7 linked regions of the Macaca mulatta genome follow. The protein of the gene in region 3 interacts with the protein of the main gene of each other region in a pairwise test. Links are inferred from orthologs where the notes say so. Each region holds a gene or a part of one and is shown on either strand. Other genes may lie near its edges. The genes, in order: ZNF302, TSGA10IP, CEP70, SUV39H2, NKAPD1, SYTL5 and ABT1.

The links.
Region 1: the proteins of CEP70 (region 3) and ZNF302 interact in binary tests that used the Homo sapiens proteins (3 or more experiments, as listed by UniProt). The two-hybrid records come from large-scale screens. The link is inferred for Macaca mulatta from reciprocal best matches to the Homo sapiens genes CEP70 and ZNF302.
Region 2: the proteins of CEP70 (region 3) and TSGA10IP interact in binary tests that used the Homo sapiens proteins (3 or more experiments, as listed by UniProt). The two-hybrid records come from large-scale screens. The link is inferred for Macaca mulatta from reciprocal best matches to the Homo sapiens genes CEP70 and TSGA10IP.
Region 4: the proteins of CEP70 (region 3) and SUV39H2 interact in a two-hybrid assay, tested with the Homo sapiens proteins (2 studies listed by BioGRID and IntAct). The link is inferred for Macaca mulatta from reciprocal best matches to the Homo sapiens genes CEP70 and SUV39H2.
Region 5: the proteins of CEP70 (region 3) and NKAPD1 interact in binary tests that used the Homo sapiens proteins (3 or more experiments, as listed by UniProt). The two-hybrid records come from large-scale screens. The link is inferred for Macaca mulatta from reciprocal best matches to the Homo sapiens genes CEP70 and NKAPD1.
Region 6: the proteins of CEP70 (region 3) and SYTL5 interact in binary tests that used the Homo sapiens proteins (3 or more experiments, as listed by UniProt). The two-hybrid records come from large-scale screens. The link is inferred for Macaca mulatta from reciprocal best matches to the Homo sapiens genes CEP70 and SYTL5.
Region 7: the proteins of CEP70 (region 3) and ABT1 interact in a two-hybrid assay, tested with the Homo sapiens proteins (2 studies listed by BioGRID and IntAct). The two-hybrid records come from large-scale screens. The link is inferred for Macaca mulatta from reciprocal best matches to the Homo sapiens genes CEP70 and ABT1.

What each region holds. Positions count from the first base shown.
Region 1 is NC_133424.1:45,961,454-45,964,346, reverse strand, and holds the end of ZNF302 (zinc finger protein 302), read right to left. Parts: coding exon 2,444-2,893; 3' UTR 501-2,443; downstream 1-500. UniProt on the Homo sapiens protein: May be involved in transcriptional regulation.
Region 2 is NC_133419.1:8,459,784-8,462,621, forward strand, and holds the end of TSGA10IP (testis-specific protein 10-interacting protein), read right to left. Parts: intron 1,560-2,838; coding exon 1,460-1,559; intron 1,314-1,459; coding exon 1,150-1,313; intron 651-1,149; coding exon 527-650; 3' UTR 501-526; downstream 1-500.
Region 3 is NC_133407.1:41,502,804-41,506,303, reverse strand, and holds part of CEP70 (centrosomal protein of 70 kDa), read left to right. Parts: intron 1-1,939; coding exon 1,940-2,086; intron 2,087-2,256; coding exon 2,257-2,425; intron 2,426-2,918; coding exon 2,919-3,033; intron 3,034-3,500.
Region 4 is NC_133414.1:16,433,201-16,437,242, reverse strand, and holds the start of SUV39H2 (histone-lysine N-methyltransferase SUV39H2), read right to left. Parts: upstream 2,801-4,042; 5' UTR 2,778-2,800; coding exon 2,747-2,777; exon of another isoform or gene 2,166-2,746; intron 173-2,165; coding exon 27-172; intron 1-26. UniProt on the Homo sapiens protein: Histone methyltransferase that specifically trimethylates 'Lys-9' of histone H3 using monomethylated H3 'Lys-9' as substrate.
Region 5 is NC_133419.1:112,827,625-112,831,848, reverse strand, and holds the start of NKAPD1 (uncharacterized protein NKAPD1), read right to left. Parts: upstream 2,801-4,224; 5' UTR 2,528-2,800; exon of another isoform or gene 1,970-2,527; intron 1,322-1,969; 5' UTR 1,314-1,321; coding exon 1,245-1,313; intron 1-1,244. Other genes in the region: PIH1D2 (PIH1 domain-containing protein 2), read left to right, coding at 4,220-4,224.
Region 6 is NC_133426.1:37,962,794-37,966,293, reverse strand, and holds part of SYTL5 (synaptotagmin-like protein 5), read right to left. Parts: intron 2,301-3,500; coding exon 2,092-2,300; intron 1,013-2,091; coding exon 870-1,012; 3' UTR 1-869. UniProt on the Homo sapiens protein: May act as Rab effector protein and play a role in vesicle trafficking. Binds phospholipids.
Region 7 is NC_133409.1:156,468,554-156,472,367, forward strand, and holds ABT1 (activator of basal transcription 1), read right to left. Parts: upstream 2,675-3,814; 5' UTR 2,668-2,674; coding exon 2,427-2,667; intron 1,744-2,426; coding exon 1,547-1,743; intron 1,394-1,546; coding exon 1,013-1,393; 3' UTR 501-1,012; downstream 1-500.

The sequences.
Region 1 (2,893 bases), on a different chromosome or scaffold from region 3:
TGACAGGCTGTAACTTCAATTCAGAAGAGTGAAGGCAGTGGCACCTAGTCCATGGGACGCTGTACTCACAGATGCTGCTGAAGACCTGTAGTGTTCTGGTCTCAGTGGGTAAAACCTCCCCTTTCCTCCATGTGGAAGCCTGATGCCTCCTTCACTCAGCCCATTTCCCAACTCTGTAGGGCACCCTCCTTCCTTCTCACAGACTTGTTGAATTCTCATCTTATCTCCTACCTGGTCTCTTTGTTTCTCCTCAGGTTATTTTAGGCAAGAAACATTCCCTCAAAATGGCTCAGATACTAAAGGATTTGTTGGAAGGAAACGGGGGTGTTTTGTAAGAGCTCTCCCCCAAAAATGTGAAACAGTAAACAGATAAGAGCAACAAGTGATTAGATGTGACATCTGAGACCAGAATGATGAAGCAACCATGAGGATATGATGAAGATAAAATCAATAGCTAATACTTATTGAACGCTATTGAGAGGCCATTGTTGTAAACATTGTGCATCAATTAACTCATTTAATTTTCACAATGCTGTGAAATAGCTTTATTACCATTTTACAGATGGAGAAACTGAGGCATGACACAGTGAAGAAGTTGGTCCAAGGTCACACAAAGCCAGTATACATGCAACTTGGATTTAAACCCAGGTAACAAGACTCCAAAGCTTAACGCTCTTCACACACACACACACACACACACACACACACACACACACACCTCGGAGCTCTTAAAGAGTATGAAGTGCTTATCTATTAGGTCCACAGAAGATACTCAAGGAATGGTTAATAGGTATGACTGAGAAAATAATATGTTGTCAGTGACATCATAACATTATAATTATATTCTGGACAGTGTTAGTGGCCCCTAAGAATGTGTGAAAAATGCAAATTCAAATCAACTCATACAAGAATTCTAGGATTGAGGCTTAGCAATCTGTGCTTTAACAAGTCCTTCCAGTGATTTTGACACACCACTACAGCTCAGAACTACTAGATTCCTATATCCCATCCCTGTGTAATACACATGAGTGATGCTCAGTAAATTTTGAAATGTATTTAATTAAGCCTACTGGAAATGGACTCTGAATAATCCTCACCAAAATACTGCTATTCTTAGTATAAAGAGCAGGCCATTTTTCTCGAAGTTTGCTAGTCTCCCACTAAAGACTATACTAAGGCTAATCTTAGTGAATTTTTTTTGCCAGAAACAGTCACAGAGAAAGACTTCATGATATACAAAATGATCTTATTAGATACCAAACTTTTATTAACACCATTTTATTTCTTTTGCAGCTTTAATTTTTAACATTATAATATTTACTGGCTCCTCTGGGTGACTAAATATCTTCACATGCCCACTAGCTAAAAAGAATTTCTAAGTAGAACCCAACTGAAACTGCAAGCTACTGCTCTAAGAAAGGCATACTTAATTATGTTTATTTGCTCTCCTATAGAATCCTGTTTACAAATAGCACCACTGCAGATTTACATGTAATTTCTAAATCCTTCAGGTTGCTCTACCATTCATCTTCTGATGTCTAGCAAGATAAACACTCTTAGTGAACACTTTGCTACATCTCTTATATGATGAGATTTCTCTCCAGTTTATTTCCTGTAGAATAAGGAATGCACTTGGAACTGAAGAATTCCTTCAATTTCTAAATTTTCCACATTCATACAACTTTTTTCCTGTAGGAGTTTGTACGAGATTCCTATCGCCTATAGTCTTTCCCACATTTGCTACATGTACACAGTTTTTTCCTAGTGTGAGTATACTTATGTCAATTAAGGGATTAATACTGACAAAGGCTTTCCCACATTTATTGACTTCATATGATTTCTCTACAGTATAAACTCTGATAAATAAAAATGTCTGCATCATTGCTAAAAGTCTCCCATATTCACCACATTCATACAACTTTTCCCCAGTATAAATTTTTTCTGATGTTAAATAAGGGAGGATCTATGAAGTTTACCATGATAAACACTGCTTCAAATAGTTTCTCTTCTGTAAGATTTCTCACATGTACAGTGATTCATATGATCTAAAGGCTTTTCCACACTTACCATATTACTGGGTTTCTCTCCATTATGTACTCTTTGATGGGCAGTAAGATTTGAGCCTTTGCTAAAAGCTTTTCCACACTCATTACATTTATATGGCTTTTCTCCAGTATGAATTCTGATGTATAAACTCTGTATGAACTGATTATAGTGAAATTTATTGATGCAGTTCAATAAGGTTTGAACTACAGCTGAAGGTCTTCCTACATTTAATACATTCATAAGGTTTCTCTCCAGTATGAATTCTGTGATGTTGAAGCAGGGATGACCTATGACTGAAGGTTTTCCCACATATACTGCATTCATAGGGTTTCAATCTAATGTGATTTCTCAAATGCATATTCAGTGATTCAAGCTGGTTGAAGGATTTCCTGCATTTCTAAACTTCAAAAGGATTTTCTTCAGTATGAATACTCTGATGTTGAACAAGAAATGACAGGCTACTAAAGACTTTGAGACATTTGTTGCATTCAAACTTTTTCTTTATACTGTGAATTCTTTGATGTTGAGTAAGGTGTGAGCTACAGCAGAAAGCTTTCCCACATTCTCTACATTCATAAGGTTTCTCTCCAGTATGGCTTTTCTGATGATGAATGAGAGATGAACTATGAATGAAGGCCTTTCCACATATACGACACTCATAGCGTTTTTCTTGCGTATGAATTCTTAGATGCTGAATGAGAAGGGACACACGACTAAAAGACTTTCCACAGTTCATACATTCGTATGGTTTCTCTCCAGTGTGAGTGCTCTGATGGTTAGTAAGTGATGAGCCATGGCTAAAGGCCTTCCCACATTCAACACATTTGTAAGGTTTCTCTCCACTATG
Region 2 (2,838 bases), on a different chromosome or scaffold from region 3:
CAGTGCGCACAATCCCAATCGGTCCTGAAACCCCTCCCCTCACCCAAGGGTTGCTCAGTCTGTGGCTCCCTGCCTTGCACAACTCAACATGTGTTAGGATGTGAGCGTGTGTTGGGATATGAGTATGTGTTAGGATATAAGCGTGTGTTGGGATGTGAGCGTGGGTTGGGATATGTATGCACCCGTTTAAGGGCCCACGCCCTCTCCCACTCACTGGGCATCCTCAGAGGCAGGAGTCATTCCGTCTTATTGACGCTTGAATTTATAGGACCCAACATATACATTGAAGATGGGGTGGAGAAGTTACAGCTCTTGCTCTTTGAGATGTCCCCACTCCTCAGGAGCAGAGAAGGGGCTGTGTGTGCTGGGTGGAGGGAACCAAAAGAGCCAGAGCTCCTGGAGGGGAGGGAGTGCGGGGACAGAGCTGCCCGCCCACCTGCCACCTCCCACTTCCAACCCGTAGCCTCCACCACCCCCACCAGCAGAAATCCCACACTGTGTTTACCATAAAGCCTTTAATTTTATCTCAGAAACTGCACTCCGGGTCCAGGCTGGGCTTGTAGTGCCTGTCAGGCTGGCTGCCGGTGGGTTCTGTCCTTGGGGGCCTCTGAGGAGAGTGCTCCATTCTCACCCCCATTGACCTGTGGCTCCTTCAAGACACAGATAGAGGCCCCTGGCTCTGCAGTTCTCACCCCCATGCCCAAGGAAACCACTGACAATGTGGCTTCAAACCCTGCTCCTGTACTGGCTTGCTGTGTGATCCTGAGCAAAGTGACTCTTCTCGAGTCTCACTTTCCTTATTGCCAAGTGGGCCTCATAATCCCTGCTCTGTACCAGGTTATTCTAAGACATGGGGTGACCAGCGTGGTGGTGCCAGCCCCTAATGAGAGCTTGGTGTGTGGCTGCTCATGTGGTTGCAGAGTCCCAGACTGGCTCTGCTGCTTGTTCGCTCCTGTGTCCTTAAACATGGCCCTGCCCCTCAGGTCCTTAGTTTCCTCGTTGAGAAGTAGGAATGACAACCCTGGCCTTGCCTTCCTCGGGCTCTCTGCCAGTCCTGGGGGAGGCCCTCCAGAGCCCAGAGTGCTGGTGTGGGCGCCCTTCCCACAGCAGCATGGCAGGGCCAGTTCTTGACCTGCTGGGGAGACTCACCTGGGTTTCCTGGGGGTGCCTTCTCTGTCCACCTTTCCTGCCTCGGACAGCAGCTGCTCTTCATCCAGCCCCAGTGCTGACAGCACCTGGGAGAAGCGCCGAGTGACAGTGAGCCGGGCATTGGCCTGAGGAGAGAGAAGAGGGCTTCTCGCTCTGCACCAGGGCTGCCAAGGGCGAGGTGGGGCTCTGCTTACTGAGGGAGTCCCAGGGATTCCAGAGGGCAGCAGCCCTGGGATCCTATCTGCAGGGACCTACTCGCATCCTGCTTCCCTGACCCACTCAGCCAGTTCTTCACAGGGGGCAGCCTCACCTGCATGGCCTGCTGGAACAGGAAGGGCCGGGCCTGCACCCTGTGCTGGATGCCTTGCAGCTCCGCTTGGTACTCAGCAAAGCGTTGTCGCTCCTGGCGCCTGCAGGGGAGACAGGCCTTTGTGCAGCTAACCATGGACACAACTGTTGATCTCCACTCCTGAGCCGGCTCATCTTCACTAAAGATTTGATATTCACGTCCTCACCCTCACCTTTACAAAGCTATTTCATTCCCATTCTGGCCTGGATTGCTTGTGAAGTCAGCCAGGGTGGAAATTATTCACCCAGTTTACTGATGGCTCAGGAGGGTTGAGGGACTTGTTCAAAGTTGTGCAGCTAGGAAGTGAGGGGCCGAGCCCTGTGTAGCTGGGGCTTGCCAATCTTCCTGTGCCACCCCCACGGGAAAGGGACCAGTGCTAGCTTCTGAGCTTCCAGACACCTGCTTACATAGCCTTCCCTCCCCATCCTCTTCCCCTTGAGGGGGAGCTGTGGTTGTTGGTTGTGTGACTTTGGGCGAGGCCTCTCTCTGGGCTCTTGGCTCTGGGCTCAGTTTATTTCACTGTGCTATATAGCAGGGATCGGACAAGCTTGCCAGCATTCTCTCTGGTTCTTATAAGCAGACAGCTTGGAAAATGGGACAGAGAAACTAAAAAATATATATATATTTCAAATTTAAAAAACACACCCTGGAGAGATCAGGGTTCCACTGGGGAAGCACAGTTTTCATTTCTAAAAACCCAGCATGGCCAGGCGTGGCAGCTCGCACCTGCCATGCCAGCGCTTTGGAAGGCCAAAGAGGGTGGATCACTTGAGCCCAAGAGTTTGAGACCAGCCTGGGCAACATGGTGAAATCCTGTCTCTACAAAAATCAGCCAGGCGTGGTGGTGTGCCCCTGTAGTCCTAGCTAGTTGGGAGGCCAAGGTGGGAGGATCGCTTGAGCCTGGGAGGTCTAGGCTACAGAGAGCTGAGATTGTGCCACCGCACTCCAGCCTGGGCAACAGAGCGGAGACCCTGTCTCAAAAAACCCAAAACCCAGTTTGTGCACTTGTCATAAATGTGTCTGCTTGACAGACTTGAGTGTCACTGCCACTCCTGAAGAGAGCACCCTAGCAGCAAGAAGGGCCTTTGGGCCACAGCCCACATGGGACCAGGCATCCATCTGTGAAGCACATTAAGAGAGGCCTTGAGGTGTGGAGGCAGCACCCATGGACAGGAAGGGAGGGGAGACACAGACAAGACCCCAAGACCTGTGCTGGGACCTCAGCGAGTGTGCTGGGCCCTGTGGAAAAACACAGCCTTGCTGGGCCATGCCCCTTGGCCCTGTGCCAGCCAGGGAGGGAACCCTCCTCCATTGAGAAAAAGACACGGATTTGAAAACCC
Region 3 (3,500 bases):
CTTCTACATCTCCACAACTGGGCAATGTAAAGAACCTAGGAGACTCTTATATTTTTCAGAGCTTACTTGATAGACTGTGCTACAACCATCCTGTCACTGCTTAGGAGACCAGAACATCTTTTCTTCTTAGCTTTGTAATACTCTTTTATTCTGAAGCAAAAATGTATTAGATTGGGTGTGCTTTTTACCATAGATTACTTTATAAATGTGCCTTGTTGCTGGAGCATTGGTTAATAAAGATATCATTATGCTGTTATTTGCTGACTTTTTTTTTTTTTCAAATTCTAGTGGCACTGATGGTAAAACATTCATTTAACATGAAATTTATTGCTATGAATTACTATAATAGTAACTGCCTTCCTACCAATTGAAAGGTTAAAGATACCAATATGTGAAGTCTGAGCCTTAAGTGGAGAATGCCAAGTGAAGTACTAAAATAAGTTAGAAAAAGAAGGAACTTCTTGTACTTCTTTCTGTTCTCTAGAGCTATGCTATCTAGTATGGTAGCCTCTAGCTGCATGTGGTTATTGATCACTTGAAAGGTGGCTAGTCCTGATTGAGATGCGTTATAAGTGTAAAATATACACTGGATTTAAAAGACTTTGTATGGAAAAAATTAAAATATTGCTTTTATATTGAAATGATAATATTTTGGATATATTGGGTTAAATAAAATATACTATTACAGTTAATATCACATGTTTCTTTTCACTTTCCATACTATGGCCCTAGACAACTTAAAATTCCTGTGGCTCACATTACATTTCTTTTGAACAGCATTGTTCTGAAGGACCAAGCACTGTGCCATACACATATGGATTGAGTATCCCTTATCCACAATGCTTGGGCCTAGAAGTGTTTTAAGAATTTTTTCAGACTTTGGAGTATTTGCAGAATATATGCCATTTGAGCATCCCTGATCCAAAAATCCGAAATTCAAAACGCTCGAATGAGCATTTCTTTTGAGTGTCATGTTGTTGCTCAAAGTTTCAGATTTTAGAGCATTTCAGATTTTTAGATTAGGGATTCTCAACCTGTAGTAGATGTTCAGTAAATATTTGTCAGTTGATCAGTTTAGAGCTCTAAACTTTCAGTAGCCTTGCCCATTGTGCACAGTTTAAAATCAATTAGGGCACCACAACTAGGCCAAGAAAACTGAGTATTATAATGTAGAATAAATTTGGGGAACCTTTCACATTGAAAACTTGCCTAGAGATACATGTTATAACATGGATAAATCTCAAAAACATTATGCTAAGTGAGAGAAGCCATTCATCAAAGACTACTTATTGTATAATTCCATTTATGCAAAATGCCCAGAATAGGCAAATCCTTAGAAATATAATGTAGTTTAGAGATCAACCCTAGGAACTGCAGGGAAGGGAAAATGGGGAAGGAGGGACTGTGACTGGGTCTGAGATTTCTTTTTGGAGTAATGGATATGTTCTGAAATTAGATAGTGCTGATGTTTGTACATGTGTGAAAATATTAAAACTACTGAATTGTATACTTAATGAGGGTAAATTTTATGGTATATGAATTACATCTCAATAAAGCTGTTATATAACATACTCAAAACCAAAATACAAAGGCAAGTTTATTCTTTGTGTATCAATAATTCAAAATAATGAAATAATATGGAACAATAATAAATAACATAAAATTACTTAGAGCACCCAGATTCAGAATAATCAGTGTATAATGTTTTCTGTAAAGCCTGTGTTTACCTGGAGAAACCTAATTTTAACTGACTTGTTCTAAATTGGTAATAGTGTTTTTATTAAACAATACTGATGGTTATATATATATAATTTAACCTGTGTAATTTTTTATTAATTTTATAAAACATATATAAAACTTATAATTTTGTTATGTTCTATTATGTTACTATTGAAATTATTTAAATCAATAATACCATATAGTTTCTTTTGTTATAAAGGATTTGTATAAGTCCTTGAAAACACTATCTGCAGAACTGGTACCTTGGCATAATTTGAAGAAGCAGGATGAAAATGAAGGTATCAAAGTTGAAGATTTGTTGTTTATAGTAGATACTATGTTGGAAGAAGTTGAAAATAAGGAAAAGGTAATACTTACATAAATGGTCACATTCTAATGTTCTCTTATCTCAAAAATTGATAATTTGATGTGGATATTAATATTTGTTCTACTAGAGTTCTGTTTGTCTTTTAAAAGTTTTTATTTGGGATTATTTTAAGATATGAACTCTTTATTTTTTACCTCTCTTTTGGACAGGACAGCAATATGCCAAACTTTCAAACTTTGCAAGCTATTGTCTCTCACTTCCAAAAGTTATTTGATGTGCCTTCTTTAAATGGAGTCTATCCCCGAATGAATGAAGTTTATACTAGGCTTGGAGAAATGAACAATGCTGTGAGAAACCTCCAAGAACTCTTAGAATTAGGTGATGACCTAGTTTGTCATTTTTGGCCCCCATTTAAGAATTTTTAGTAAATTAACAAAAAGTAGATAATTTTTTTTTTTTTTTTTTTTTTTTTTTTTTGATACGGAGTTTCACTCTTTTTGCCCAGGCTGGAGTGCAATGGCATAATCTCGGCTCACCGCAACCTCCGCCTCCCGGGTTCAAGCGATTCTCCTGCCTCAGCCTCCCGAGTAGCTAGGATTACAGGCACATGCCACCATGCCTGGCTAATTTTGTATTTTTAGTAGAGACGGGGTTTCTCCGTGTTGGTCAGGCTGGTCTTGAACTCCCGACCTCAGGTGATCCACCCATCTCAGCCTCGCAAAGTGCTGGGATTACAGGCGTGAGCCACCGCACCTGGCCGATAAAAAAATTTTTAAGTGAAAAAAATTGAGGATAACTGAAGCATAAAATGTTTGATGTATGTAATTTTGAAAATTCTCTGTTAAAATAGCCTTTTATTTCTCTTTTGCAGATAGTTCATCTTCATTGTGTGTGCTGGTAAGCACTGTTGGAAAACTCTGTAGGCTGATTAATGAAGATGTGAATGAGCAGATTATGCAGGTATTAGGACCTGAAGACCTCCAGAGGTATTTGTTTTAAAAGTTTACAAAGTATCATCCAGAATGGCCGGGCGTGGTGGCACACGCCTGTAGTCCCAGCGACTTGGGAGGCTGATGTGGGAGGATCACTTGAGCCCAGGAGTTTAAGTCCAGTCTGAGCAATGCAGTGAGACCCTGTCTCTAAACAATAAAAATAAAAATAAATATTATCCAGAATTCATGGAGGGGTGAAATTAAAGACTTTTAAAACTTATTTACCTTCCCTGTTTGGAATAGCATCTTTTCTGTGTGTATGTGACTATAGGCACACACCACCACGCCCAGCTAATTTGTGTGTGTGTGTGTGTGTGTGTGTGTATAGAGAGAGAGAGACAAGGTTGCACCATGTTGCCCAGACCAGTCTCAAACTCCTGGGCTCAAGTGATCCACCTGCCTTGGCCTCCCAAAGTGCTGGGATTACAGGTGTGAGCTACCGTGCCCAGCCTTGGAATAGC
Region 4 (4,042 bases), on a different chromosome or scaffold from region 3:
TGTAAGGGGCTAGACATTTGCCTTACCTTTACTACCTTGTAGTCACACAAGTATTCCACCTCATAATTGTTTAGATTCCTTTTGGTGATTCCAATCGATTTACATGTGAGCTTTTCTTTTCTACATAATTCCTGAAGAGTATCAAGTGAAACTAGGCAAGGCACACACCAAGCTACAATAAGAAAATAGAATTCTTTACTAATGAAATAGCTATTCAATTAAAATAAAAAAGAGAAAAACCCTCTATTCCCCAACTTTCAACTGGCAATTTTAGACTAAAAATTCCTATGACAAGAAACCAATTATGCGTCTTCAAGAAAAAGTTAAACATTAAGGAACTATTTCGTTAAATTGGTGTTCTTGGATTTTCTCATGGATTTCTACTCCACTATGTTTAACTGACATCAGTTGATTTCCATTAAGTCACTCGAAAATGTTTCATGTCTGTAAGCTTTTTAAAAATTATATGCAGATGCAGGTCAACAGAGGTAGTGTTTCTTACTTTCATTGTATTCTACATAGACTATAATCACTATTTTAATAAAATGTAAATCTCTAGGACACTTATTCTTAAAAACACATCTAAAATATACTTTAAAACAACATTATAATTCGTTAACACATAACTCATTTTTTTTTAACTGGACAAAACTGAAATCTAATAAAAATATATTTCTACGTTACAAACTCATATGTTAGTTTTCTCTTTGAAATGTTGCATGAAGCTTTAATTCCACTTATTATTTTACCCATACTGCAATATATTATCACCAAGGTGAATAAACTCGAGTTATTAAAAAAATGGAGAGTATATTGATATTTTGTAATACTTATTGACTGTATTGTTTTTAAAGCCAAACTTTTAAAACGGTGTTCAATTTACATAAGCCATGTACTAAACTCAAAGAAAATTAGACATACTTATCATCAACCCTCCAGAAGCCAGAAACTAATTGTGTTCCAGAAGATTTGACCCTCAAATTTCTGTAAGTAGCATGTTACCACACTGAATTTAAAGTGTAAATTAACAAACACGTTTAGGAAAATGGAACAAACTTGGTGTTAGCGCTAGTGTCATGGTAAGCACTAGACAGGATCAAAAGTCCTCTGCCCTACCCATCGCTCAGCCACCGAGCTATGTGACTTTAGTGAGGTCTCAATCTGTCTGGCTGTCACATTCACTGGAAAAAAATGGAGAAAACTGGTGTTACCAAACAAAATCTATCAGTAAACTCAAGCTTTACTTGGTAGCTCTCCAAGGTAGTTGCGATCACCTTTTATGTTTTGAGGTAATTTCAGGAAAGGGAGAACACTTGTTAGCAGCAATAACTTTTCCTGCACCCTTTCCTCATCCTCCCCACCTCACACAGAGACTACTTCATTGTCAGAAACCCTTAAGCATAATTTCCACCATCTCACTGGCTGCAAACGACTCCATCCTAAAGCAGTAAAGAGAAAGGTATTTTCCTCCAGAAAACGTGGGGGAAGAGGCCGATTGCTTTGGAGTGGTCGTTTGGGGGTAGGACAGTGATAGGAGAGAAATGACCCCGTAAGTCCCTTCCATCTAAAAAAACTAGAGGACGTTTTGTGTTAAGCTGACCTCACTAAGGGGATCACGTATAAAGGTGGTTCCTCTTGAGTATCTACCCAAGGTGTGTTTGTGTGCTTTTCCTAAACATTTTTATCTAGTTGAGGATTCAAAACACAACCCGCAAAGGAAATGCTCTTCGAGAATTTAAAGGAAAAAAAAAAGTGAACATGAAAAACTGCAAACACGTGGTTAAAAAAAAGCAAAACGACAATCTCTCAAGTCTCCAGTAATGTAGAAAAATATTTCACTGACAAAATTAAATAGTTCATGACCACCACAAACACCTTCCGCTAGCTTAGTTCACAGTAACCCCTGACATTCTCCAAGGAAGAAAAACTCGGGGATAATGAGGTCATAATCCAAGTGGAGAGGAGGCGAGCTTGAAAACACCTTTACATTCCAGAACGCACGGAAAAGTTCCAGGCTCTCAAAGCGTGCGCGACACCAACACCCCCCGACGCCCACACCCACGCACGCTCGGTGCCCAATTCCCCAGCGTCCACAGAAATAACACCAAGCTCCCGGTGGGTGGAAGAGTTACCGTAAGCCAGAGGCTGCAACCTCAAATACCCACTTTCTGGGCGACTCTCCAACGAGGCACTCAACCTCCTAGCGTGTCCGCCTTGTGGGGGGGGGGTTCCTCGGTTATCCCCTTAGCACACAGGAGCCCCGATTTCCTCTCCCCCTCTGATATTAAGGTCATGTTCACGCCGGCGGGCGTCGCTTCCCGCCTCCCACTTCAAAGGCCCGGGCGCATGCCGCACGCCGCGCTCGAACCACCACAAAGGAGCCAGTCGCAGCCGGGCCCCCGGGACCTCCAGCCGGGGACCGCCGGGGAGCGGCCCCGACCCCCGAAGCCACCACGGGAGACGCCAAGGGGGCCGGGCCGAGCGGGCGGAGAGGCCACGCTCCGCAGCCGAAGCGCCCCAGGCTCGCGCAGTGCCCACCTCCGCGGCGGGAGCCGGCCGGGCAGGGAGGCGGGTCAGCGGCCTGGGGGAGGGTAGGCGCCCGCAGCGTGCGTCCCGGAGTCGGGGGCGCGGCGGCCGGGGAACCGCCACGTCGCCGTCTGGCTGGCCCGCGGGACGGCCCCGCCGCCCGGGCCTTGGGAGCTTGCCTGGGAACGGGGAGGGCGAGGGGGCCGCGCTCCAGCCTCACCTCCTCGCGCCTCGGCCCCGACCGCCGCCATCTTGTGGAGCTTTCATTCAAACTGGCGCGGTCTGACGGGATAGCTCAGCTGGCCCGACGCCCCGCCCCTGGCCGGCCCGCGCGGGACTTGGGGGCCGGGGCTTGTAGGGGGGATGGAACCCGCACGGCGTCCTGACGTCACTGGCGGCCGACCCCCCGCCGCGGCGGTCAGCGCGCCTGCGCCCCAAGGGTAGGCCCGGCCCCAAAAGCGAGGAGCCGAGCGGGGCGGAGCGAGCGCGCGCGCGTGCTTTGGGATGCTCTGCGGTGTCCGGCGCCCATACCCTGCGCCAGGCCCGTTTGGCGCATTCACTCGGGAGGACGTCGGCCAGGGACGGTGCCTTTCGGGTCCGGTTCCGCAGCCACCGCAGCTCGGCGGGCCATGGTTAGGCTCCCCCCGACCCCACTTCCCTAGAGCACCGGGCCTCGGAAGCGGCCGCACATGGGCACGGCTGGAGAGGTTCCGCTGGCTTGGTGCAGTCGCCGGGATTCCGACTGGTTGGTGTGGGGTGTGGCCTGTGCTGCCCAGCTCCCAGCTGATCCTAATGTGCGGCACAGCTGAAACCGCCAGTCTCCATCAGTGCTTCTCACACTTAAAAGGGGTTTACGAATCGTCGTGGGGGGGAGGTGCGGACTTGGAATTTTTTGAGAGATGGGGTCTCACTCTGTCACCAAGCTCAAGTGCAGTGGCGCGATTACGGCTCACTGCAGTCTCGACCTCCTGGGCTCAACTTTTAATGTAAATTGGGACTGGGTAGGTCTGTAAGGAGACCCGAGCCCCCCTCCCGTGTTGTTGACAAGCTCCTGAGCTCGGCCTGCTGACGGGTGGGGGCCGGGAGGAAGAGGACTTGTTGGTAAGGAGGCTGCAGGGCGACTCCGGGGGCCTCCCACCTGGTCTCCACCCCCTCCCCCCAGCCATTCTTGACGCCGCATCCATATGACTGTTTTAAACAACCTAAAGCAGAAATCTTAGAGCAAATAACGAAAACTGGCAGAAAGCCATTTGATGTCTACTAAGGACTTAAACGCAGACCATTAAAGGACTGGTTATTTGATTCCATTATGAAATACTGTCTAGCCGTCTTAAAAAGATGTTCATGAAGCTTTTAGTGTTAAGCAAAAACAAAACAAATCCCCCTGAAATATAGTTTTAACTAGGAAAAAAATGTATAGGAAAATAACGAAATACAGCCTTTCGAAGTGATTTTAACTTCTCGTTTTTACATATTTAATCATTTTCTACGATGAGCATCTCACTACCTTGATATA
Region 5 (4,224 bases), on a different chromosome or scaffold from region 3:
TTACCTTTCCTATCATAATTGTCCCCTTTTTTGTTCTTTAACCCAATTAACAGAATCATCATCACCCACCCAGTCACATAGGTGGTTACACAGTTGACCTTGAACAACAGGGATCTCAACTGTGCAGGTCCACTTATCCTCAGATTTGCTTCCACCTCTGCCACCTGTGAGATAGCAAAACAAGCCCCTCTTCTTCCTCCTCAGCCTACTCAATGTGATTTTCTTAATAAAATGTTCTTTTCTCTAGCTACTTTACTATAAGAATACAGTATATAATACATGTAACATAAAAAATATGTGTTAATCCACTGTTTATGGTATTGCTATGGCTTTCAGTCAGTAGCAGGCTATTGGCACTTAAGTTTTGAGGGAGTAAAAAGTTATACATGGATTTTCGACTATTCAGGGGGTTGATGCCCCTAACCCCTGCATTGTTCAAGGGTCAACTGAATTAGATTCCATTCTTATCATTATCATCTAATTAGCCACCAAGTTCTTTGGACTCTATCTCCTAAATTCCTCTTCTTTATCCCTGCTGTCACTAATTTCACGCGAACCCTCATCACCTCTCACCTGTAATACTGCAATTGCCTCCTAATTAATCTCCCTACTGTTTCTCCCCATCTGATTCATTCCCCACCCATCTGACAAACCATCTTTCTAAAATATAACTATGATCATGTCACATCCTGTTTAAAAACATTTGATGGCTTCTTTACTGCCTAGAGGAAAAAGTCTCAGTTCCAAACATCACAATCCAACTCTAATGACCACTGAGGCCTTATCTTCTGCGCCTATCCCTTCATTCCCCGCTTTCTGGAAAATTTCTTGCCATGCCCTGAGTGATTAATGCTCTTTTTTGTTGCCATATTAATGCATGATGCTCTCTATCCAGAATGATCTTTCATACCTAGTAAGCTTATACTTATTCAAGAACCAGTTTAAATGTCAGCAGCTCAAATACCACTAATTCTGTAAAATCTTTTCTAATTCCCCGGGGTAGATTTTATTATTTCCTCCTTAGTGCTCCAAAGCGCTTTGCAAATATCTCTGTTATACAGTACATATCAAACTGTATTATAATTATCTATTGTATTCATCATTTTATTTCCTACTTTGTACAAAAGCTTTCAAAGACTAGATGACAAGAATATTCTTTGTATCTCCCAGTTGTGCCAAAATAATGCTTGGCACACTGCTTACTTTCAGTAAGCACTGAGGAGTAACTAGGTTGTACCTCCCACCTTATTGTGAGCATCTGTGTGCCGGATGACATTCCTCAGGAGAACTTTCCCCAGTGGAATCCGGGACATTCTTCAATCTGAAATGAATCAACAAATAACGTTTAGTAATAATTTATTTTATTACTTTATCTTTTCTTAAATTTTATAAAGAAGCATGAGGTAAAGGAAAGATCACTGAACTAGAAGTCAGAGATCCTAAATAATAGTTTTCCCTTTACCATTAAAAGAGGGAAATGCCTAAACACACTAATGTGAGATGAAAGGAGATAATGTACATTAAAGTTCTTTGAAAATGCACAAGACTGCATAAAATTAAGTGCTTTCATGAGCACCATTTTATTTAATCCTCATAACTATTTTTTATATGAGGCAAATATCTCCATCCCTATTTTGTAGATGAAGTTCCCTTAAACTTGTCATGCCCCAAGCCACATAGTCCCAGGCAAATGATGTATATCAATGTCTAGATTAAAAATCAAACCTCCAATCCCAATATTAGTTTGCAGTGAAGCAAATACGTAGATTTGAGAGTATCAGGAACCACAGGTGTCAACAGTAACAGAAACTGATGACTCAAAACATCAAATGCAAAGATGTCCTAAACTTCTCCATTTGGGAGCATTTTATTTCCTACTTGGTACGGAAGCTTCCAAAAACTAGATGACAAGAATATTTTCTTGTGTAGCTAGCACGGGCTTTGTGCAACCACCCCAACGCTCACTCACCCCTTGATCCTGAGGAAATCAGGCATCTTGTTAGTGAGACGAAGAACCACTCCATTACAAGATCTCCTCCGACCCAGGAAGCCAAGGAGTCAGGGCTCAAAGGCAGCTCTGCAGCTTCACCCGAGTCCTTCGTGAAAACGCAGCCTTCCCACTGGTTAATCTGCCCTCACCTGTGGCCCAGGCCACTGCCGCCTTTCCCCCAGCCCAGATCGACAGGCAGATCTCTCTCGCGGACTGAGGCCGGAGACTGAGCCGGCGCGGAATTCGGACAGCCCGGTTGACCCGGGCATTCCCCCCTCACGCTCCTCTGGGACGAACCCCGGGGGTAAGTTTCACTCCCCAGAAAGGATGGGAACGCTTTGGATGGCTATGGCCTTCGGTTGGGCCCCAGGAAGTATCTAGGGAGCCTGAAGCGGGGGTTGAGGTTTCCAAGTGGAAGACAGAGGAAATATCCCCATCTTTGTCACCGGGATCCCTGTCCCCCAGCGGCCTCGGAGCTCCCGGTAACCTCCCCTCCAAACGCCCTCCCCACACAAATACACACAAACACACCCATACCGTGCGCCGCTGCCTCGCGTGGCGGGGGGTAGGGGGGAAGAAGCGGTTTGGGAGAAAAAGGAAGAGACTTCCTTCTCAGGCCGGAAGTGGTGCTCCTGAGAAATAGTCCCACCAACAGGCAGCCCAGAGACTCCCAGAAGGGAGGGTTTTCAGGACACTCCAGAGGTTGACGGGTGCAGAAGGGAGGCGGGCGCTTTCCTGGAAGAGAAGTGGATCGGGCCCAACTGAAAAGCAAGCCTGGTACCAGAAGGGGGACATTCCGGAACTAGATATGAGGAGACTTTTCAGCCTGAAACTCCCCGGACCCAATTAGATGTTGTACCCAGGCTGGTTACCCTGGTAACAGGCGTCGCGGTTTGTCAAGGAGCTGAGAGAAGAGGTGGGTTTGCCAGCCTATAGAATGACTACCCGTTAGAACAGAGAAGAGGTGGGTTTGCAGACCTATGGAATGATTACCCGTTAGTTAAGCTTCCCATTTAGCGTAACCCTTACACAGTAGTTGAAGAATCTAAACCTTTTTGCCTCATTCTAAAGATGCTGTTTGCAGACCTATGGAATGATTACCCGTTAGTTAAGCTTCCCATTTAGCGTAACCCTTACACAGTAGTTGAAGAATCTAAACCTTTTTGCCTCATTCTAAAGATGCTGTGGGACACCTCTCCAATGGGAGAAGAGGCTAAGGAGAGTTATCTGAAGACGTAGAGAAGTGTCCCAGCCTCTCTATTAGCTTCCTTAATCCTCGCAATAACCCTATGATAATATAGGTATTATCGTCTTCATTTTGAACAGAGTAAGAGGAATATATATATATATATGTATATGTATGTGTATGTGTGTATATATATATATATACACACACACACACATTAATTGCTCAAGGTCATACAGCTAGTGAGAGATAGAACTAAGACCGGAATCTAGGCATTCTGGCTCGCAAGTCCATGCTTTGAATTACTAAACTATAATGAGGATTAAGGAAGTCTCATGTGGCCCTCACCCCATACACACCTCTGGCAATTTCAGAACTGGGGAGCCACCAGTCAGTGAGGTGTTGGAACAAGAAGATCAGGAAACCCAGATTTAAAATGATTGCTCTGACTTGTCAGGGTCCAAGTAGAAGTAAAGTCTTATCTGAGAGGACAATGTGAGAATTTAGGAAGAGGTACTAGATAATTAAAGAATAACGAAAACATAAAGTGGTGCTGCTGATCCACAATCTTTTAGACACAAATGCTAAGTCCTAACTTCACCAAAACAATTCCTGGCCCATTCCGCCTCCCCAAAGCAGAAATGAATCAACAATTACACAGGGCCGGGCGTGGTGGCTCAAGCCTGTAATCCCAGCACTTTGGGAGGCCGAGACGGGCGGATCACAAGGTCAGGAGATCCAGACCATCCTGGCTAACACGGGGAAACCCCGTCTCTACTGAAAAATACAAAAAACTAGCCGGGCGAGGTGGTGGGCGCCTGTAGTCCCAGCTACTTGGGAGGCTGAGGCAGGAGAATGGCATAAACCCGGGAGGCGGAGCTTGCAGTGAGCTGAGATCCGGCCACTGCACTCCAGCCTGGGCGGCAGAGCGGGACTCCGTCTCAAAAAAAAAAAAAAAAAAAAAAAAAAATTACACAGACAGTTTTCTTCCCAAAGTCATGTCTTTCCACAGGCTTAAGAAAATTATTCACCACTCATCAGTCATGGA
Region 6 (3,500 bases), on a different chromosome or scaffold from region 3:
GCAGGTAGAGTACCTCCTTTTTCATTAAACTAGTCTCATCAATGAACACAATGTGAAAAGGTACATCAATTGACCATTATTTCTCATTCCCCTTTAGTTAATGGCTTAGAACATTTTATAAAATAAATGTTTACAACAGAGCTCTCTTAGGTCATCAGTAGGGTAACCCTACATCCCAATTTTCCCAGGTCAATTCTAATCAACATCAATTGTTCTGATGTAGTTATTTAGGTCTCTTTGTTCTCAAAAATAAACTGATTTAGATGATAAATTATATAGTAATCATAGAAAGCCCTGTCAGTCCATCTTGAAATACTACTTGGTTAATACACAAGTTTGCTGCAATAACAGGACAACCCCCTTGCTCAAGCAACCATCCCCACAATGCCTTCTTGAGAGCATGTGGATTCCTAGGGTGAGCAACAGTTGGCCAGTATCATTTCTTCTAACTTTTCAAGTGATCTACCTTCTCAGTGGTCCCCTTTCTCTTCAAAGGATTTGAGAAAATCTAAAGTAACTTATAATTAGCAAATGGAGGACCCCAATCTCAATTGTCGTTTCAAATGAGCTTGTGCCATTTCTTTTATGGTATAAACCCTATAAACCTTTGCACAATTTGCTCGTTGACAGGACAGAGTAGTACACTTTCTATCATCCAATCAAGAAGGCCCTGATTGGAAGAAAATATATGTTTTTTAGGCACTCAACAAGACCCTAAATGTTCATACTACTGACATCTCTCCCTTCATGTCCCGATACTGTCAGATGAGAAATGGCAGGGAAGCAGAATCCCAGGTCTCAGTTTGCTACTGGTAGGAAAAGACAGCCAGATAGGCCCTGGTGGCCTCATTCTTGGAGAACTGGTCCCTCTAGAGTCTACACTTTCCCATGCTGGAACGAAGCATGAGTACACCCTCAAAAGGAGTTCCAGGGTTGTTGGCCATCTTCTGCCAAAGGCGCTGCTCTTCCCCCTGAGAGTCCATCCAATCCACGTTCTTCCCATGGCTCACACCTGAAGAAACGAAATGGGAACATTATATGTCACACATGAAATGTTTTTCTCTCCTGCAAGGCATCTATCAACTTCTGAGGGGGCCTTTTGACCAGAGTACCTTTTACTGGCTTGTTCTCACTTAGTATATATAGTGAGTGGTGTTAGAATTGAATCAATCATTTGCAGCCTGCACTATTCTCTAATGCCTAGGCCATATGAGGCAAATCAGGGTGGCCCTGGTGACTCACTTCCTCCCTACTTTAGCAGAGAGCTGGTTCATCTGGACTGTGCTAACATGACAGAAGAACGGGATGAATTTGACTCTCTTTTTCTAACAAGGACACTTTTCTGACCTGGGGAGTTTTCCTTTTAGTGGTATAGATATTCTTGGCTCCCCTTAATCTATAAATAAGTAATTATCATAGTGATAGGACCTTCCTCAACAGAAATATTTACCATGGTGTATGCAGATGGTCTCATCTATGTCTGGCTTAGGCTATGGGATAATGAGAGTTAGGGGGACTGCACGTGCTCTACTACTGTAATCCCTTTTCCAATTCACCCTGTTACAGTTGTGTCTTGTGGCACCAGTGGTGGGTTTCCTTGATCTGTTTTTAACAACATTGGTGTTATTTTTATGAAAAAATGATTTCTTTTCAATTCAACCAGTATGAATAATAGCTGCAAGTGCTGGACAGAACTGAGAAGATGATGAAGTAATGTTGGTCTTGAAAGTCGCTGTCCTCCTATCAGAAGGCTGTGCTGTCTTGGTAATCATCTTCTGAGCAAAATCTGAAGCAAGGTCCAAGAAAGTACTTAAAATTCACTTAGACTAAAGTGTAAATGTTAGTCTATGAAAGGACTGAATGTCAACATTATATCTTCCAATCTTCTAGCCTAAGGATACAAAGGTACTGTAGTTATATTTGTATTTTAACAATGAATAGATCCTTAGCTAAAGGAATGAAGCATTTGTGGTAATTTCAGGATTTAGCTGAAACTACGTATGTATATCCACTGCACATCACACCTGCAAGAATAGTGCCCCCAAACGGACCCAGTCACAGACCATCCCTGTGGGTCCCCAAATCCCTCACCACTTCCAGAATTCAAACGAACTCCTCCCAGAAAAATGTTGCTGGAAAAGGCCTCCTTGTCCCAGATGGTAAGTTCTAGGCAAACATTCTTTATATCCTGGGGATGGATGCCACTGAACATGAATGTATGATTCCACTGAGGGTTAACACTCTTTTTTATTACCAGAGTTTTGTGCTTGGTGGCTTTGCTATCATCAGGGAGCAGGTAGCTGCAGGAGGAAAAACAATCAAACCATCAGTAAGACAGCAGACAGAAAATGTCAATGTGCACGCAAGTGTGATGTGTCTATCTGATTTTTCTTCCCAGGCTTCTATATGCTTAAATCTGGATTTATATAGTGGAATGACTTTAATGCCCTCATTCTCCTTTCTAATCCTATTTTCGTACTTCCTTCCATCTTGAAAAGAAAATACCTCCTGCAATAGACACTATTGTATGCCCTGCTTCACATCTTTTTTTTTTTTTTTTTTTTGAGGCGGAGTCTCGCTCTGTCGCCCAGGCTGGAGTGCAGTGGCGCGATCTCGGCTCACTGCAAGCTCCGCCTCCCCGGTTCCCGCCATTCTCCTGCCTCTGCCTCCCGAGTAGCTGGGACTACAGGCGCCGCCACCACGCCCGGCTAATTTTTTTGTATTTTTAGTGGAGACGGGGTTTCATTGTGTTAGCCAGGATGGTCTCGATCTCCTGACCTCGTGATCCGCCCGTCTCGGCCTCCCAAAGTGCTGGGATTACAGGCTTGAGCCACCGCGCCCGGCCACCTGCTTCACATCTTTTTGGCCCTCCTTGGAGCTGACTTGCAGCAGGATGGGAAGTTCCTGATATGCTTTCAGCTTCCTACCTCAAGTGCTTGTGTCTTTTGACACAAGGAATAAATTCCTCTAATTAAGGAATTTATCTGATATTGTGTTAGCTGGCTCAGCTCATGTGCAGGAAACTCTGGGATTACTTGGAATTTAATGCCCCTGGGGCAACCTTTAACTGATGAGTTTGAGAAATTGGTGGATAATTCCCCAGCTTCCCTGTCCCTCGAAGTGACAATCCTAAGGTATATTCCACAGAGTTCCTCACTGCTTCCCCAATGGAATCAAGTTGCAGTTGCCCACAGTGGTAACCTGCCCATTAATATATGTTTTAATCAACTTCTCTTTCTTCCTTGTCTCATTTTCTCCACTTCCTCACTGGCGTTTCCTGAAATCTCTTCAAATAAAACACCTGTATCCTAGGTTTTCTCGACTATGGTCAAAACACTGTATGAGGCTCTAGGTATGTGATAAAAATGGCTGTTTTCCCCCTTCAGGGAGCATACTTTAGAAAAGAAGACATACGTACATATGGAATTAGTACATGGAACAAAAATGAAAAGTGCTACAAACAAATGACTTTACAATAAAGAAGATACATTCAGTCACTT
Region 7 (3,814 bases), on a different chromosome or scaffold from region 3:
ACTCAACACTCCACCCAGGAAGCATTGTTTGCAATTGTGGGAGCACTCCAGACTCTTTCAAACTTCTTCTTTATTATTCTTACAGTTATTTTGTAGGAATGACCTGGAAAACTTGGTGAGGACTGACTCACCACTGAAGACTGTGATCATCAATCACGTCCCCCTTGAGAGGGGCTCTATGACATGCTGTGGCCCCCATTCCACCCCGTATATGCATCTACCACGATGCCTATCTTATACTAGTGGCCTGTAAAACTCTTAATACTAAGATGTGTTATTACCTATTGTCATTGTTTCCTCAAACAATGGCTTAGAAAATGCTGACTTAAGATAACTAATTGATAAACTGGGCTAAGATAATAGAAATTAAATAAAAAAAAAATCCAGGTTAAACAGTAAGGTGGGTGGCGGGGGCGGGGGGGCTCTAAGATCAGGAGATGAAGGTGAACACAAGGAGATGAAAGCTGGAACTTGTCCAATGACCCTCCCCAACAAAAATAAAAAGGCATAAAAAATATTTTTATTTTCTATAAATACATTAGGAAATGTATTTCTTCCCAACTCAGTCCACGCCATTAACTGTCAATTTTTTCTACATAAAAAAGATGCTAATACCACCCTCACCTGTGACTGCTAAACAGAGAAAGATTGCCGGGATTATTGCAGGCATTATCCCCCTAGTTGGAAATAAAGGCCCGTTCCTGGGGGCAGAACGTGGGATTTTTAGGGGACCCTATAGACGTAGGCAGCCAAGAGTCAAACAAAACAAGCATATGCAATAGTCATAATCATGCTAGTATGACAGTATGAACTAGGTGACTCAGCCAGGCATATACAGGAGTTCGGAGTGAGGATAGTGGAAGCCCTCAAAACTTGCACGTTTGGGCCCTTAGCAGAGACACCTGGTCTGAGAAACACAGTAAAATGTTTGCCTGGATAGTCACGATCATTCTAGTATGAGGTAGACAGGAAGCAGAGCAGGGCTAGGAGCTGGAAGGGGCCACCCTGGCCCTCAGGAGTCCCTGACAAGGGAAGGTCCCTCCATGCTCTCTGAGGGTGGTGGGGCTCCAAAGATCCTGGCCAGGAGCCCTTTGTTGGAGCGGGCCTTGTCCTGGGCAGTCGCCAGGCGAGCCCGTTCACGACCCCCTGGCCGTGCTGCTTTCCGGGCCCTCAGTTCCTGCTCAGTAGGACGTTGCGCAAATGTCCAGGAGCCATCTGGGCGAGCAGGGTCCCCATCGGCCGCAAGAAAGCGTTGTCCCCGTTCCACACTTTGAAGATAGAAGTCGGTCTCACGCTTGGCCTGAGCAACCTCCGCTCTCAGGCGCTGCCTGCGCACCTGGCGCTCAAAGGCAAGGTGCTCACTGAGGTGGGACCAGGTGAAACGGTGCAAGTACTGTGGGCAGAAAATAAGAAAAGATCAGGATAGTGCAGATTAGGGAGAAAGATGAGACAGGGGACAAGACCAATGAGAAGCCATGGGTATACCTGGGCCAGAGCTGGGGAGAAGGGAGGGTGAGAGGTGTGGCAGAAAGATCTATCTCCTCACCTTGAGGTTCCAAAGATCATAACGGAAGGGGCTGCGCCTGCGGGCACCCATAGGCGTGTTGTGTAGACTGGCCGCCACGCGCTTGGCTATGCGCTTGTCACGGAACTCCACCCATCCCTCGGTGTAGTCCTTGCTGTAGGACCGCTTTTTTCCTCCCGCAGCTGCTGCTGCTTTCTTCTTGCGTCTCACGAACCGATCTGAGCGCCAAAGACAAAAAGACCCGTCAGGGACTATGCAGCACTCACTCAAAACCACTTCCCATTGCCCGCATCGTTCTTCACATCTGCCAGCGGGAGTTCCACCTGAGAGTTTTTGCCCAGGAGGGAGGGAACTGTAAATTGCACCCTTTCCTCTAGCTAACTCAATTATTTCCTTAATTGTCCACTCCTTAATCTGGCCGGCTTTGAACGCTATTTAACACCCGCGCAAGTCCCCAACCTCAATGTAAAATTGACGGTGGAAAGAGGAAGGGCGGTTGATCAGTTTCTTGACCTAGGCCGCGATGCTAAAGGGGTATGTTCAGTTTTGTAGAAAAGCTAACGAGGCTTTTACTCTGTTGTACTCATGTAACAAACCAGTAAACAGATCCGGAAAGAGAGGTGAGCAGGGCCGGGATAAAAACACGAATAGTAACAATCCGAGAACTAAAGAACCACCAGACGCACTGCGCTACCCACTCTCCCCATATCCCCTCCGCCCACCCACCCCAGCATCCTCACAGACTGATTCACCAGCCAGGAGCCGAGCACCGCACTCCCCACCCCCAAAATCCAACAACTCGTGCCTCAGTCTTGCGCAGCGAAGCAACAGGACATCCATGCTTGCACCCCGCCAGCGAGCGACAACCTCCTCCTTTCACCGTCAGGGTCTGCATACTTACCCTCAGCCTGAAAGAAGACGCGTCCGACCTCGCCATAGGCGCTGAGAAGGTTACGGACGTGCAGAGGACGGAAGCGCGGCGGGATATGGCCCAGGTACACAATACCTGGCACTACCCGCTTATTGCGGCCACAGGCCGCTGCTTCGGATTCCTCCTGCTCCTCCTCCGCGTCTAGTGTCTGTTCTGTCCCTTTCAGCGGCTCGTGCTCCGTTGCGGCCTTCTCCGATTCCTCTGCCTCCATGTTGACTGACATGAGCGGCACGACGGCCGTAAAGTGCCTTGCCTACTGACGCAAAACGTGTGCGACGGCCTGAGACGAGGGGGCGGGGCCAAGGCGGTGATGACAAATGAAAGGATATGATTGGCGATGCAGTCGGGTCAAGGGGAAGGCCGAGGGGAGAGGGCGGAAGTGGGGTGTCAGGTGGAAAGCCAGATTTAGAGCGTGGAAGCGGGATAGGAAGCTTGTTTTAGGTTCACAGATTCCCTGTTACATCTCCAACTCAGGACAGGCAGAACCAGAAAAGGCAGATCCCCAGATACAACCTACCCTATAGAACGCCGCTAAAGGCGGGTTGATGCCGGGTTTTTAGGGAATTTTGTAGAGCAGTTTTAGGGAAGTTTCTGTGTGTTCTAGCGATCAAAATAGCATTTTATTCGAGGGCCCTGGTTGCGATTCCAGCTGAGGAATGACTCACCTTTTAAAGTTTATACATTTCATTTAAAAGATTTGAGTTTTGAAGTTTTAATTATTTCTGGAAATTTACCTTGGAATTTTGAATATTTTAAAATTTAATTTTGAAAACGGTTAATTTTGGAAATTAGATTTAATTTTTGAAAATTTAAATTGCGAACTTTCAGTTTAATATTTTACATTTGATTTTGTGAATGTCTGAAAATTTAAATGTGTGACAATTATTTGAATAATTTGTTTGGCATCTATTACACATGTGTATTGATACATTATCCATATGCATACTTACGTTGCAAATACTTGTCAGAGGCGCACACGCCTCCAATTCTGGCGACCCCCCCGGCGGTGCGCTTAGTTCTGCCCTCCCTGGGTCTGTCCTCACAGATTCCCCATCAGATCACAAACCAATTTTCCTTCTATGACCTACGTAACCACAGAACGGACAAGGCCCCGGCGGTCCTGCTCCTACCAGGCGACCTGCGAACCATCCCTAAGCCAAGCCCATAGCCGTTTTCCCCGCGCGGGCTCGAGTCCTCAATCTCTTACCGTCGCCCGAGGGCGCGACCAGCAGGGGGCGCCGTCCCCACCCTTAAGGCGTTTCAGTTCTTGCGATCCGCGCCAGCGACAAGCTGACTGCAAAGGATATTGCTGGGAACCGAGTACAAATAATCCGATTAGCTTTCTGGAAGCAGCCCGG